4 linked regions of the Drosophila melanogaster genome follow. The protein of the gene in region 4 interacts with the protein of the main gene of each other region in a pairwise test. Each region holds a gene or a part of one and is shown on either strand. Other genes may lie near its edges. The genes, in order: CG13634, 7B2, CG13678 and LpR1.

Region 1 (4,343 bases), 970 kb from region 4:
TTAGCATACGATACAAGGCAGGGGATAGAACTACTGTGGCAAGCTCATACCTCAATGGAACTTCTTCAAAGAAATCATTTTGATTTAATGGAATACCCATCAATGGAATGTCTATCTTACTTAACTTGCACTAGAAACTAAGTAATATATCATATTGAAATCCAAACAAATTCAAACACCCATCGATTTCCCAACCTACTTTTGAATGTAGGTCGATCTTCAAGTGATTGCTTTAGGCATTTAAAACAAATCGAGCATCAGTCCAAGAAAGAAAGACAATAGTGTTTCTTTAAGGTTTTCCATCCGTTGTTTGCTTACGGAGCCCAATCAGTCGGGCCTCCATGACGAAGTGCATCCAACACTGACCCCAATTCGAGTCCCTTGCCTGACATTTGGACAAACTGGAGCAGCAAGCGCTGCGATGCACCACCATGTGCCATCTGGATTTGCTCCGTCGCATCCGAGAACCATTCGAGATAGTTACCCTTAATTACGTGCCCGTAATCGCTGCCGGTTTGGTTCGGCTCTATCGGCAATACACCATGCCAACTTCCAGTTGGTATGAAAATAGAGAAAAACTTTTGGTGGAAACGCAGAAAGCGGCACCGTGCCGTCCCTTTTCTCCAGTTTGGGCCATAAGAAGTGCAGAATGCTCGACTTTCTCCCCCCCAAATCGGGGGTTATATAAATCTTGACAATGATACATTCAACTGGTTGGATCACGGATTTGGCAATTCTCTTCCGCTTTTTGCGCGCACAAATTTTTGATAAATTGCAAAATGTGTCGCTGAATCGCGTTCGTTAAGTGCAAGCAAACAATTTGTCAAATCAAATTACAGCAGTTATTTAGTGTAACTGTCGTGTGCAAGCAGCTAAAAAATTTAACAAAAAGAAAAAAAAATCGCAGCGGCAGCCAGCCAAGCGATGTCACCTGCCACACGTGCGCAGGTGCAACAGGGAACCACTTTTTGGATGGGTTACCATAACTAAGGAATACTCTATATCAGAAAGATAGCAATACCATTTATGAGATATTTCTTTAGCTACATATACCAAATATATCAATGATCATAAATGACGAATATTAATATCGATCATAATAGCTCTTCATATCATTAGCGTAATACTTTTTTCAAAGAAAGGTTCCACTGAATTTCCACTTTAGTTATTAAAAATGCAAGATTTCTAATAAATTATTTCTCAATTCAATTAAACTGCAGATATGATGCATATTGAACCATTTGTACCTTATATAGTACCTATGGGCCCACACCCATTAGGCCCTAATTTGTATGCGCAATTGGTGCCAATTACAAGTGCAATTGGGAAAACAAACTGTGGCGCTGGGTGACTGACTCATCCGACGGATTGATCAACTTTGAACCCTGGCGAACAATGGTGCACATACTCGCAGAGATTACGACGCATGCGCGCCCGCAACTGACATTACGAAACTCCAGTCGTGTGTTTACCTTTCGGTATGGTATCGTATGGTTTGGTATGGTATGCTATTATATACATATAAGGTATATGTACTGATCTAGTTTGCAGCCGCCCAAGGGAGCGGTGGGTGGTGGACTGAGACCCATGGGCTCGCAGAAGACAATGCTTTTCTTTTTCCAAATTGTTTTAGCTGGCGTCTTTTTTCTTCTGTTTTTTTTTTTCGTTTTTCTGTGTGTGTGGCTCGACTTGGATGACTGGGACTCCGAATCTCTGTCTCTTTTTTAACTCTGGCTATGGATCCGTCGTGGAAAACACTTTCACTGCACATGATGAGGCAGTGACACGGTCGTCACCATCACGATGGCTATGGCTATGCTCTTCTCCGTCTTCTTGTGGGTGTCTTTTTGGTTTTGGTGGCAATGGAAGCGCGACCGAGCCAGTTTCTCGCTCCGCTTGGTCTTGGGAGTCGCATTTTCGGTTCAGCTGCGGGCGAGTTCGGAGGTGTTTTCTGGCCAACTTAAGGATTCTTTCAAAAGATAACCCAACAACATTGTACTATTAAGATATTACAATCCAAGTTCTGGAAAAGTAGCTAACATAAATTGCAGTTTAAATTTTATTAACGAACGAACTGAAATATAATCGACAAACGTTCTTTATATAAAAGAAGAAACGCATTACCATTTGATAATAAATATTTTTGAAAAACATTAATGTGTCTTGTGATTTTGTGAATAAAAAGTTTAAAATCCAGTGAGAACTAACAGATTTCAAAAGCCTAAAAAACAAGGATTCTAAGGACTTACAGCCTGAGTAAAAAAGATTACCCCACTCCATGTTTGGAATACCGCCATGTCAGGATACGTGAGCCGGGATTTCAATTGGCTGTACTTTCTGCTGGCCATGTGTTCTCTGCTGGCGGGTAAGTTACCACCACTGCATCGTAGACAATTCTGCTAACACACGCTCTTTAGTGACCCTCTGTCAGCCGTACCAGTTGCCCCACCGATGCTCCAACCGGCTGGAGAATGCACTGGAGCACATGCGTCGACGCAGTGTGCAGACCAAGAGCTCCTCCGCATCGCGCGCCATGTGGGAGCCGCCACCGCAGAGTCCCTACCAGTTGTACCACAGTTTCTACGGACAGCACAGTGATCCGGAGGATGACTTCTACAATGTGGGTGCCTACAGCAGCGGACGTGGCTATCACGCCAAGTTGCTGCATCGAAATGGACAAGCCAATCCCTTCTCCGATTCAAGCAGTGCACTAGAGCTGGAGGATTTGCTGGCGGTGAATCAGCAGAGCCAGCAGCACAGACAACCACACAAACTGACAATTTCCCGGGTGGATGTGGAGGATCTCAAGGTGCGAGTGCCGCCGGCGAAGTCCGCCAACCGGTGGGTTGAGATCGACAAGTGCAAATTCAGCACTGAGAACTCCACGCTGGACACCCGCCTGATCTTTCCGGATCTTACTCTCAGCGGCAAGGTGGTGATGCAGCCGATGGGCGGAAAGTGTCACATGATTCTGAGACTGCGACACGCGGGCATCGAGTTTCGAACGGTTCCACTGGGATCAGGACACGCCTCCAACTACGAGCAGTCCCGGAGATTGGGAGCCGCCTCGGTGCGCACGGACTCTCATTTCGCTGAGCCCGGATTTATATCGGTCTTTGCTCACGGATGCCAGGGACCCACTGGAATCCGTCTGCGCCAGAACTCCAAGCGGAGATTCGGTAGTGCTCCGGAAGTGGAACTGGGCGAACCGCACGTGATACTGGGCAGCAAGAGACCACAAAGGTGGGGCAAATACCATCAGCAGGCGGGTTATGATATCCGCCAGGGTCAGGTGCCGCAAAGAACTAAGGAGTACAGCCTGGAGCTGGGCAGCGATAGCCAGGCCCAGGACTCGGGTGAGTTCATCGATGTGAACGGGGACAACTTCTACCGGCGGCAGTTCAGCAAAAAGAGGAGACGCCGGCGGCGCTACGCCAAAGAGAACTTCGAGGACCAGGTGAACTTCAGCGAGGATGTGCTGCACTTCGAGGATGAGCAGCTGCAGCAGCTGGTGGAGCCGGATGCCAGAGCCTTTGCAGATATATTCAGCGGCAGTGGCTCCAGTCCCACCGGAGATCGTGAGGAGCTGGTGGGCGAGGCCATGTCTCACGAGCTGGAGAAGCTCTTCTCCATGGGCGTCCGTGGCTTGCTGACCACCTACATGCAGCGGGCGCTCCAGCCGGCCATCAAGGAGACCCTCATGGAGAACATGGGCTACACCCTGAGCTATGGCTAAGACCACCACCTCGAAGGACTCCTAGTTTAAGCCCTATTTATGTACGTCCGATGCGGTTGAAAATAAAAGCTTTAAGCGAATCTTACCAACTTGGCCGTATCCATGGATCGATCGGTGGTCCGGATGCACTCTTGAACTTGTTGGATTTTCACTAATAGGATTTCACCTGGCTGCTGCTCATCAATACTCCTCAATTATTCAGAGTTCGATGGCTTTCACTTGACGTTGATGGTGATCAGCGCGCATTCCGTTGCCTTCGTGCAGTTGGTTCTGAGTTTCCGTTGTGACTGGTCGAGGGCACCTGGATAGGATGCCAGGCAATGCGGCCGGAGTCACCGTTCGGGGGTTGATGCTCCTGAAAGCTGGCCAGGATGCACTACGCAGCCGCGTCACGCCTCCGCTGCCCGCCGATTGGTTAATTCACTTTAAAGGGGAAAGACCAATGGCTTGGCTGCGGGGCGGTAATTAGGAGAAAATATTACAAAATTTTCAGAAAGTGGTTTGATTAGCTTTCAAATTGAAATAAAGGAATGCAAGGCTAGAAGCCAAATATTTGAAATAATCTTTAACATATAGGTTAAAAATTATTTTAAAATCCTAAAGCTTG
Region 2 (3,653 bases), about 20 Mb from region 4:
ATTAAACAAGCGCATGTTGTATCGTTTTAACTATTAATAAAATCAAATGAATAAAAAATCTTTTTGCGCTATAAAAATGTATCTGACTATCGGATTCACCGATAACAAATCGATTAAGCACTGTCGTTTTTCCAACTGTTTTATGATCTGGTAACACTTTCCGTCGCTGCGTTTTATGCTAAAAGTAAACACATTAACTTGATAAACAATGAACCTCGCCGACGTTTGCCGTATTTGCGCCAACAAAATTATGGGCCACCAGCGAGATCGCAACATATTCATTCACATGCGGGGAAAATATTTGGGTCAACTGAAGCTAATCACGGGAGTGGAGGTAGGTCGTTATGTCAGCTTCCGACCGCGCCAACAATTGTTATTACCTGGAATTTGTTCAGCTGACAAGAAACCAGGGGCTGCCGGAGATTGTTTGCGAGCGCTGCTTCTCCGAGCTGGACCTGGCCACCAAGTTCCGCGAGCGGTGCATCTTCTCGCAAAAGTACCTGCTGGATATCATAAAGAAGACCAGTGATCAAAGCACTGTTCACGTTGAGCTTAGTTCCGAGCCGCTGGACGAGCAACTGATCGATGCGGATCAATTGGAGACGCACTACGATGACGACCAGTACGTTTGTTATCAAGGCACGAAAGAGGAACACCAAGACCTAGAGGAAATCGAGCTGGATGACGACCCCTCTGCCGCTGTGATAGCGGCAGCAGAGGCGGCAGCAGAAGCGGCGCAGCAGGAGGATCTACAGGAGCAGGAAATGGAGCGGGCCGCCAAGAGGCGCAGTAACTTCTTTATCTGCGACGAGTGTGGAACCCTGTTCCACGATGCGTTCCTGTACACCGAGCATTTAAATGGGCACCAGAACCGGCGGGATATGAACCAGTTCTTCCCCTGCCCTGAGTGCCCACAGACTTTTAACAAGAAGGCGCTTCTCAAGCAGCATCGCACCCAGGTTCATTTAATTAACCGCAGGTTCCAGTGCACCATCTGCCACGAGGCTTTCGCGTCTCTGGGCGCTAAGTTGCGGCACGACAAGTAAGGAGGCTGGGAATTGAATGCTAGCGCAGCACTATATGCAACTTCCAATTTCATTTTAGAGCCCATAAGAACGAACGACCTTATCCATGCCTAGAATGCGGAATGATCTTCAGCAGCGTTTCCGAATTGCAGAACCACTTTTCGACACACTCAAAGCAAATCCGAAAGTTCAGGTAAGCTTGTCAGCTTGCGCAGTCATATGTCTTAATATCGTATTTTTTGCGTTTAGGTGTGAGCCTTGCAACATGGATTTTATAACTCGCCGAGGCTTGGTGGCCCATACAAAAACAGCACCGCATAAGCGCCTTGCCAAATATATGCAGGATGAATTCGATTTCATCGAATTGGCAACCTAACCCTCAATTATTACCACCTTCTTTCTAAGTAAATGCTAAGGTCAAAAAAATAAATCATAATTGAGTAGTTCAGTTTACTACTTCGCTACCATAATATTCGACAATGGAGTATCGGTTCAATGTTATTTTTTTATAAGTGTATTTTTAATTTATTGAAAATAAAATTCCTTCAGTTTTACTTTCAAGTCATTTTTTATAGTTCATACTTTTAAATTAAGGAGGGAATGGAAATTTATAGCGTATTACCGTGTAACATAAACCTCTAGTCATACAATTCAAGAAAATAAAGTTTTCTTAGCGACTAAGTTTTCTTATTTTCTTCCAGCATTTTATACTAATAAAGCTTAAAGAGGCCTGAAAACCTCAGCTCCAGCAGTTTGGCGCTAATCTAATTCTCGGCCCCCCACAGGACTGCTTCAACATAAAAGAGCTTTCGAGTACGGCGCATGCGTCCTTTCAGCTGTGGCTGCCATAAGGCAGCTTCGATTGGATCTGCGTATATTTCGCAAATTCAACTGGTAGCCGCCGCACGAAGCACAGAGCCCTACGTCACGTTAGTATATACACGGAATCGGAGCAGCTGCCGCCGAAAAATCAATACCTTACCAAACTTCGACGTGGACGGTTGAAACCGCTTGGAATCGCAATATGTTGTTCCGTTCGCAAAGTAAGTCTGCTGAAGTAATATTTATAGGTGGGTGAGGTAAGAGAATAGCCCATGTTTTTCCAGGTGTGTACATGATGGTGGCGATGCTCGTGGTCGCCTTGAGTGGCTACCAGGTGCAGTCCTATAGCGCCAAGGATATTCTTGCCGATGTCTTGATGACGGATCTGCTGAATCGCATGGACAAAGACATGCAGGTGGGCTATTACGACGTGGGCAACGAGGCAGCCGCTGGCTCCAAGGACAACGTGGACCTGGTCTCCCGGTCGGAGTACGCGAGGCTGTGTGACGGCGGAAGCGACTGCATCCTGCAATCGGGCTCGGCATCGGGAGCTGCCTCCCATCCTTCGCTGCGGGATGACGAGTTTCTGCAGCACAGTTCGCTGTGGGGTCACCAGTTCATCTCCGGCGGAATGGGAGAGGGTCCCAACAGGTATCCCACTATAGTGAAGAACGACGCCGGCCTGCCTGCCTACTGCAACCCTCCTAATCCCTGCCCTGAGGGCTACGACATGGAGACGCAAGGCGGCAGCTGCATTGTCGACTTCGAAAACACGGCCATCTTCAGCCGGGAGTTCCAGGCCGCTCAGGACTGTACCTGCGACAACGAGCATATGTTCGACTGCTCGGAACAGGATAGTGCTGATGTGGGCGGCGACAAGGGTGACCTGAACTCCGCCGTGGAGCAGTACATCATGCAGATGGGCCAGGAGAACAGCCTGAACAACGTTAACAGCCTGGCTAAGAAGGCCGGATATCCTGTGATGCCCGATCCTCGGCTGGACGACGCGGTCATAAACCCGTTCCTCCAGGGCGACCGCTTGCCCATAGCCGCCAAGAAGGGCAACCTTTTATTCCACTAAGGTAACTCGCTGATAACGCGAGCATACACGACGTTTCCATATGGGTGTCTAATACTATTATCTATCATAGCTGGTTATCAATGTTGTCCCGCAAGCGATGTCTAGTAATGTTTCTACCCTTTCCCGAAAATAAAGTTATTCGTATAGTACCAGGGCTCTAAGCCGAAAATATGCGGGTATTGGTCTAAACTTGGGGTAGGGTCTCCACTACCGAAGGTGGGTTCGGATGTAGCTTATCCTTGGGATGACCCAAGTTTGATGAGAGTGAGAAATATCGAATATCTGTTTGATGCTTCTATTTATTGTTTTAAAAAGTTTTACAATCCATCAAATCATCAATGATTATTCATTTAAAAAGAACTATCCTCGATATGTCGTCGAGTGTACAAATAGGCCACTGCGGTTCAGCTCCACGTTGAGTATTTTGTGTCAGCATGCACTGGCCGCGTGTTTCGGATGATCCACGCGGGTATTGACTTAAAGATAACCTAACAAATGATAGTATAGTACATCGCATGAATGTTGCTGCCACAGTGGGCGATCAGCCACCCAATTATTGGCACACATCGACACTGGCAGTGTGATTAGCTAAGCATAATGTTCGTTCTGTTGCCATGAAGCCTTATGAACGACCTGATCCTTCTGAGCCAGAGTGTCCTGGCTCTCACTCGCGTCCCTATACATACTATACAACACAATCCTTCCTTCTGACTACAATTCTAGGT
Region 3 (3,240 bases), on a different chromosome or scaffold from region 4:
CGGAGGAATTCGAGAATTGGGGATGGAGGACGGAGAACGGAGAATGAAGGATGCTAACCCATATTTTGGTGGCTTGCGGTTGCTGCGGCAATTTCGGTTTTCGCAGGCTTCAGGATGTACGTACTACGTACGAGTACATATCCAAACTCATTGAAGCCTGCGGCTGGAGCCCGACAATTTCATCGCAGATGAAAGAGGCTTCCATGCTCATTTATATGCAGGCCCAATCCGCAGCCTCGACATATAGCAATAATTGAACGCTTAGCTTGAATGGCCGCAAAAAACCGCTCGCTAATGGAGCATTTAAATATGCGAATGCCAGTGCTTGGCATGCTAATCCATAAAACTGTAATCTCACATGTTATATGAATAGTTTTGAAGTCAGCTAAAATATGTACTTTGCAAGTAGTAACTAGAACTCATAATGGATTGATAAATGAGATACCCTTAAGATTGCTAAAGTTAATTACTTTTGAAAGCTATAAACCCATAAATGAAAAACAATTATAACATGTAGATTCTAAACGGTTTAATGCATCACAAGTAGGGGTTGCATGGAAAATAAATGCCAGTCCATGAGCCAAGCTCATGGGGCAATATCTTCCGCAGGGTTTACAATCCATGGATTTACTTCTTCAGCAGCAGAGGAGCGGCAGCAGCGGCGACATAGGGACGAGCCACATAGGGCGAGCTGTAGGCCAGGGGCGAGGTGTAGGCGGCGGCGTAGGGCGTGGCAAATCGGGTGTAGGGAGCGGTGTAGGCGGCAGCCAGAGGAGCAGCAATGGGAGCGGTATAGGCGGCGGCAACTGGAGCGGCATAGGAAGCTGGGAAGGCGGCGCTGTGGGCCACCGAGTGGGCGGTGTAGCTGGAGGCGTAGGGAGCCACGTAGGCGGCACTGCCCACCACAGCCGGAGCGGTGTAGGCCAGAGGAGCGGCGGCCAGAGGAGCCAAAATTCCAGGCTTGGCAGCAGCCACAGCCACAACAGCGAAGAAGATAGCAGCCTAAATGGTGGAAGTTTCAATGTAAGTGTTAAGTGAAGTAATATTAAAAGAATTACTACAAAAATTAATATTTAAAATGATTTAAGTTCTGCAAATGGAACTCATTCTTATAAGGTTACTTAAAATGGTTTTCTCAGATATCTACTATCTTTTGCAATATTTTGTTTAAATATCAGTTATACTTTTTATATTAGTTTATAAAGGCTTCCTTCTCCTTCAAAACTTCGTTCTAAATAGTTTTCCTGTACTTACGAATTTGAACATGTTGATGTATTGGTTTTCTTTTTGGATTGTCACTTGGTAGATGGCCAATTGGTTTGTGATGTCCAACAGCCAGCTGCACGACTCTTTTATAGCCACTTACACTTTTCGAGCTATTTACCAATGCAGATCACGCTTTTAGATCAGCCATCGATGGTTGCCAAGTCAACGACTTTCGATTGACGTTGCGCATGCGCAATTCTTGGCTACTGTTTTTGAATTTGTTTTTTTTTTTTCTTTCAATTTTTTCGTTTTAGTTTTCGTGGTCTAGACCTGACCATGTCTTATTTTTGGTGCGTGCCTGAACGTCCGTTACTCGGCGATTTGTCCCTGACCTTGACGACTGCAATGGGCTTACAATTTAATGGGTCTTACGGGTTTAACCGCCAACGAAAAGGTAGCTGAAGTTCGAGTGATTTATGAGTGTTATGCCGGGCCGATATCAGGAAATTATCAAGTCATTCCGCTCCATTACCATTCGCCTGTTTGCCTATTTTAATAGACCACAATAAATCCGGCTAATCACTGTCTAATTATCCGCTCTCACCGCTGGAAGAACCGAAATTAATTAATAAATGTCACAAATTGCGGGCAAAGAGCTTAGAACTCACTAATTAGAAATATCGAGTGCAGGCCGCCGCCGTGTGTGGTAAAGCGTACGTCACAAGGATGCACCACCACAAAGGCCACTCCACCCAACTCCACCCAACTTCACCCACTTCTTGCAGGCTGTTCGGGAACACATATCCTGATGCTCCTGCTGCGCCAGGCTCACACTTGAAAAAGTGTTGAAGCGTGAATTTTGCTTAAAAATGCCAATTACGCGATTTCAGCAGCGCAATGGATTGGTGGATGGTGGCTATAAAGCACCGCTCAAAATGGGCGGTGAATTTCAGGGGGTGTGGCAACATACACACAGAAAAAATGATGTGCAATTACATATGTATATTATTCTAATATATAAAAACTATATTACTATTATATTATTTGAGGCCACTTTCCTAAAAATTTTGTTAAATAAACAATATTTGATTTGTTGTATATATAAATATATTTTGCTGCAAGAGTTGGTTGGTCTTTTCGACGACTACAGCAAATTGTTGCCGTTCTCCTTCGGGTTTGCTTTTCAGCCGCTTTCGATGATGATGTTGCAGGCGAAGGATTTGGCGCGCATCCTGCCACTTCCTTGCCTCCTTTTGTGCAGCTCAAGTGTTTGCCATGTGCCTGTGCATACGAGCCAGCCTATTGCCATCCGTGGATGTGCTCCCTCGTGGATGTGGAGGAGTAAGGGGATGTGGATGTGGTGTCTACTAAATGCACAATCATGCAGCTGGCAGCGGGGCATGTATTGAGAACAGCAAACGGCAACCGCAGGCGGCAAACATATTTGTTTTGACACTTGACTTCCCTCCTGGCCACCAGGCTGCTTTCATTGTCAAGTTTGCGGCGAGGACTTGCTACTGAAATTATTATATTGGTTAATCCGCCTAAAAGCTTTGATGGCACATCCGCCCCCCAAATGGCAGCCATCTCGAGTGCCCACAACTTTCGAGTGGCCCGAACGGGGAGCATATCAAAGAGCAGTCCCCTGGGAGAAGGCAAGAGCACCCGGAGTCGGAGCTGGGGATAATGTATATGTATCCACGAGTGCCGGCAAGTAATTAAAAAGCAAGAAATTTCCACAAAAAGTCGCGCACAAAAATCGCTCCGTTTGACATGGACAAAGCTTGGGACGAGGACTTTGGAACCAAAAGAAGTGAGCAACGCATCAAGCTCGACTTCAAGGATATCCATAACTTATGAACTAAATTAACTAAACATATATGTATTTTTTAATTAAAAGTTACTACTAAAATTTTATGTCTATACTAAACTAAAACGTTCAACCAAAATAAGTAAAAAGTTTAAAATTAAAACATTACTCAGCTATACCAACTCTAATAGGCTGTTAAAAAATTTTTTATAATTACTCAGAAT
Region 4 (4,716 bases):
GCCCATTTCAAGTGGACCGTTACGCCGGAGAATCCATGACAAATGCAGATGACGCCCAAGCACCGATGACGATGGTGATTGCAATGCAATCTAATGGCTGATATGATGGTGATTGTGATTGCGGGTTTGATTGAGATTTCCATTGGTACTGGGATGCTGCTAGTGCCGATAATTGTTTTGAAGATGACGCATTTTAAATGACTGACCCTAACCGAACCCATTGTCCGCTGGCTGCGATTTTTCACCGCCTCTTATCATCGACGTCAGTCAACGCAACTCTAACCAAGCCAAAAGCCAATGAAATCAAATCCACGACACTCCAGTTCAATTTCGAATTTCACACCACTTTCAATCGGACCCACACCTGGTTTGATTGAAAGCGGCGACACTTTCAATGCTAATGAGCTGCGATTCCGTTTACCAATCGCCGAAAGGCATTTCAGTTCGCATCGGTCTTCGCTGGGCATCACACCGTAAAACCTTCCGGGTCCCAAAAAAAAATCAAAAGAATTAAGTATATTCAAAATACCTATTTGATACCTGGATATAGTTTCGGTGGGCCCATGCAGAACGTCACGACTGTCGTACGATTATCGGCACAATTCTCACGTCCGGTTGTCCAGCTTAATTAAAAAATATCTTTGTTTTTCGCACTGATAAACGCGGTGGCAACGCAAAAAGGAAGTCTAGATACATACAGTCTGAAAAACGTATTTTCGTACAGTACGATGTTTAAAAGTGATCTCTGTGTGCTGATTGTGATCTCCTTGGCGTTTTCCTTACATTCAGGTTGGTACTGTAGAAAATAGGATTTTTTCCGAGGTCTGAAACTGCTCTTAATTCGGAGCCCTTAACCACTTATTTTTAATTAGACTTTAATATCAGATTGAATAATTGGCTGACCAATTACATGTACATCTAAGTACACTTTGTGCGATTACCCTATATAACCTTTGTTGGTTCGCAAACATCATTCTCAAGTTAGCACTTGAGTCCTTCTTTTTCTTTCTCAGGGGATATTTGCCCAACTTGAGTATAAAATAACAAAACGTATTTTTAAATTAAAGTGGATTCTTGGCATTACGACAAGATAATTATCACTACTTATTCAATATATTTCCACGGAATTCTGTCTAGTTGTGAAATCAGTCGCAATATTCCGAAAGTAGTATGATCCCTTATCATAAAAAATACTTTAATTTCTAAGGCGTAGGTTTATAACTTAAGAAATGATTGATCGATTCTTAATAGCTGGGATTCGTTAGCATGTTGCTTTTGTTTTTTAAATAAATTATCTCAGTTGAAGAAGCATTTAAAATTCTTGTAGTTTTTAAACAATGCTTCTGTAATAGTTGTATCTATAGATCGCCCAACGATTCCTTGCCCAATCTATCCATTCACATCAACGTACGCTCCATTGATCACTGATCAACTGGTTTGCCTTAAGAGCACCTTGTACGTTAGTAATCTTTTGGGGAGCTAAGAGTGGAATACAGCATCGATTAAATTCAGAGAGTGCTCCGATCTGCCAGATCACTCTTTATGTATCTCTTCGACGGGGTCTGGTCAGTTTCTTGTCAGTTTTGATAAGGCCACCTTAAGACGGTGCAAAAACAAGCACAATCGCAAACGACAGTTACTCTCGGCTCTCGAATTAAAATCGCTGGCGATTCGCTTAAATTTGCAGGCCAATTCTCTAAGCGAATTCAGTTGAAAAAGGCGCGTTGTGCGAAACGGGCATCACAGTTTTTTGCGGTTTATTTTCAACTTAAAAACCAAATAAAAAACACAAAAGAAACAAACAAAGCGAAATAAAAACAAACCTCATGTAATTCAAACATTCTACAGATTTAAATGCAATGATCTGTTTCTGAAATAAATTTGGAAAGACGCGATTAGCACGTGCCGCACATTCGCAGACACCTTGAAAATACCGCAAAAATAAATCAAAATAAAAGGCAAAACTGATAAGAGTTTATTTATCCGGGCGATTTGACGCGTGCTAGCTACAAATATCGGCAACAACAATATTTAATTAATTTATTTGCGCGATCGGAGGGGGCGTGGCCGTCCGCTCAACTAAATTTTAAATTATACTTCGGCTTTATTAATTGCCAACGTCAACAGAAACGTTTTTGTTTCTCTATAAAAATTAAGGGAAAACTTGTTTTTCTTGCTAATATACAATTATTATCAAATATTTTACTTATCGTTTATAATTTCCATATTTTACTCAAAATAAATGTTATTTCTCGTTAAGTACATATATAATTATTTTCAAAGTTTAATATATAAATGAATTTTCTGTGTAATTTTATGCGTTGCTTTTTTTCTCTCTTCGCATTTTTCGGTGATTTTGTTGTTGTCCGATATTTTTGCTTAAATTTTTTTTTTTCGGCCTTTTCGGTTTTTGTATTTTTTTTTAGCTACGTCGCGTTTTTGTGTGTCGCACGATTTTCAACCAGTTTCTTCAGTCTTCTCATCTCGAAATAAGAAATGTGAAGAGAGACGAAAGTAAAAGAGAATTGGCCGGATCGTGTGTTTATTTTATTTTTTGGCTGGCAAGCGATTCTTCCAATGTTTTTGCGTTAATGCTTGCGTTTATTTTTACGTTGACGCTGGTTCTTTTGGCCATTTCTCTGATTAGATAATCTCTGGCGAAGATCTCACGCTTCCTGCTTAGATAATCTATTCAACCAGGGTCACCAGAAATCACCCCACTTAATTTTCCCCTATCGAATACAGTGTCTATACAAACCTTGTAAGATCGAAGTGATAAAAGTGTGAAAAAAGCATTAAACAGACAGCATAAATTAAAGCAAAAGAAGAGTGAAGGCAAGCAAAATACCGTACCATGGCCATAGAGTCACGCTCTACGAGCACTGCAAGTGAAACCACAAAAACCGCCATAAAATCAACCACAAGCTCAAAATCTCCAGTAACATTCGGTAATCTCGGCGAGAAAAGACGCGCCGAACAGCTGTTCCGCTGCGCATGCGCCAACTTCAATCTCCTGCTCCTGACTTTAATGCTCGGATTCGGCAAATGCTGCACTGCCACGCCCACGCCGCTGAACACGCCCTCAACGAACACGCCCACCTCGGCAGTTAGCCCACATAATCCACAAACGCTGGACGAGAGCGGATCGCTGAGCAAGGTGATCGATGGCAAAGCCTTCATCAACATGGGATTCAAGTTCCTCAACGTTTCCGGAAAGATTGGCACACCCCTCGGCATAGGTGAGAAATGCATTGGCTGATTGAAAAAACCGGCGAAAATAGCGAAAAACCAGAAAAAAAGATCGCACAAGGGGGGGCACAAAGTGCGATGTTTGTTTATAGCCTAGCTTGTGCTAATTTTAGACCACAGATGTCGTCGAGGTTGAAGTCGAAAATGAAGTTTGGATACCCTGGCTTGGGGTATATATAAAATGATTCATTTAATCTTTTCAACTTGATGCCTATTTACAAATATGTAAAATGAAAAAAAATTTGTATTAATAACTGCGTTGTAGAACAAAGTAAAGTACTTAGCTTGAGCTGATAACTTAAAATTAAAGCGCGTGCAATCGAATTACAATTTAATCGTTAAAGAATTATCAACCAATGCTAAGAAGCTTTTCATTAAACTTTATTAAGCTGATAGTGTTTGAGTATTTAGTTATTAAATTATCCCCAAGCCATTGAGCAATGTAAACGATTATTTCAAAATATTACATTATCTTCGCAACTCCAAGCAATCCTCTTTGAATGGAAAGTAAGCAGTTTTGACTTATATGAGTCAATAATAACATTTAAGATATATGGCCTTTCCATTATACTGCTTAATTTATAATCATCACAATCTTGGTCACAAGGGTATCACCTGCATGTCGAGTCATTCAAATGGCTTTGCTCACTTCACACTTCGTGCACTTAAAATGGGCTCAGTTAAAAAGATACAGATACAAGCACTAATGCAGTTGCAGATACAGATACAAAAGTGCACCTTCCACTTGTTGCACACACACAGACGGTATGCGGACCTACTGTTACCGTGGTATCGAAATAGCCGAGAATTTTTTATCCACTTCCGCATTGATTTCCGCCTGGCTGACCATCGAGAATCTGTATCTTCTAATGGCTAAGCGATAGGAAAAGCGTTTGGCGTCTATCTGTGACGTTATTTTGTGGCGCGGGGCATTCCAATCATAAATCTAACTTTAAATCTAGCCACCTGTTTTGGCCAATATGGATTTACGTTTAGTGCTAGCCCCGAACTGGGGATTATCTTATCGGTCAATTTTACGATTTGTTTTTATGCATTTTTCGACCGCCGGGATTTCGCGACTTGAAGATAAGTGGACAATAAAGGGCAGTCAGACAATAGAAATTTCCTTCTATAAATCAAGAATTAATGGATTGATAGTGCAAGGAGCTTTGAATTGGTGCCATAAGTCATTCAAATGATCTTGAAAACATATAGATAAAAGAATATGAAGTGTGAAAACTACGATTGTTATAAATTAATATTTAATTTTTAAGACGTATTAGAGCAGTTATCCTAACCAAAATAATTTATTTTTATTGTTCACACATTTTGGTTTGAAACTATTTTTAAATAGCTAAATTTTTTAAGCAGTTCGCACTTTTGAAAATCAATCAACATATTGAGTGCCAAAAAATAGTCTTAAGGCTAAATCTGCCACATTTACTTGCATTTTTGTACTTTGCTCTT

What was found.
Region 1: the proteins of LpR1 (region 4) and CG13634 interact in a two-hybrid assay, tested with the Drosophila melanogaster proteins (one large-scale study listed by BioGRID).
Region 2: the proteins of LpR1 (region 4) and 7B2 interact in a two-hybrid assay, tested with the Drosophila melanogaster proteins (one large-scale study listed by BioGRID).
Region 3: the proteins of LpR1 (region 4) and CG13678 interact in a two-hybrid assay, tested with the Drosophila melanogaster proteins (one large-scale study listed by BioGRID).

What each region holds. Positions count from the first base shown.
Region 1 is NT_033777.3:24,787,743-24,792,085, reverse strand, and holds CG13634 (uncharacterized protein), read left to right. Parts: upstream 1-1,949; 5' UTR 1,950-2,295; coding exon 2,296-2,365; intron 2,366-2,417; coding exon 2,418-3,736; 3' UTR 3,737-3,822; downstream 3,823-4,343.
Region 2 is NT_033777.3:5,374,883-5,378,535, forward strand, and holds 7B2 (7B2), read left to right. Parts: upstream 1-1,897; 5' UTR 1,898-2,049; coding exon 2,050-2,068; intron 2,069-2,116; coding exon 2,117-2,928; 3' UTR 2,929-3,093; downstream 3,094-3,653. Other genes in the region: CG14667 (uncharacterized protein), read left to right, coding at 209-334, 396-1,042, 1,105-1,218, 1,275-1,401. UniProt on the Drosophila melanogaster protein: Acts as a molecular chaperone for neuroendocrine convertase amon/PC2, preventing its premature activation in the regulated secretory pathway.
Region 3 is NT_037436.4:8,220,229-8,223,468, reverse strand, and holds CG13678 (uncharacterized protein), read right to left. Parts: upstream 1,329-3,240; 5' UTR 1,267-1,328; coding exon 1,255-1,266; intron 1,003-1,254; coding exon 628-1,002; 3' UTR 516-627; downstream 1-515.
Region 4 is NT_033777.3:25,757,315-25,762,030, reverse strand, and holds the start of LpR1 (lipophorin receptor 1), read left to right. Parts: upstream 1-1,708; 5' UTR 1,709-1,828; intron 1,829-2,745; 5' UTR 2,746-2,854; coding exon 2,855-3,239; intron 3,240-4,716.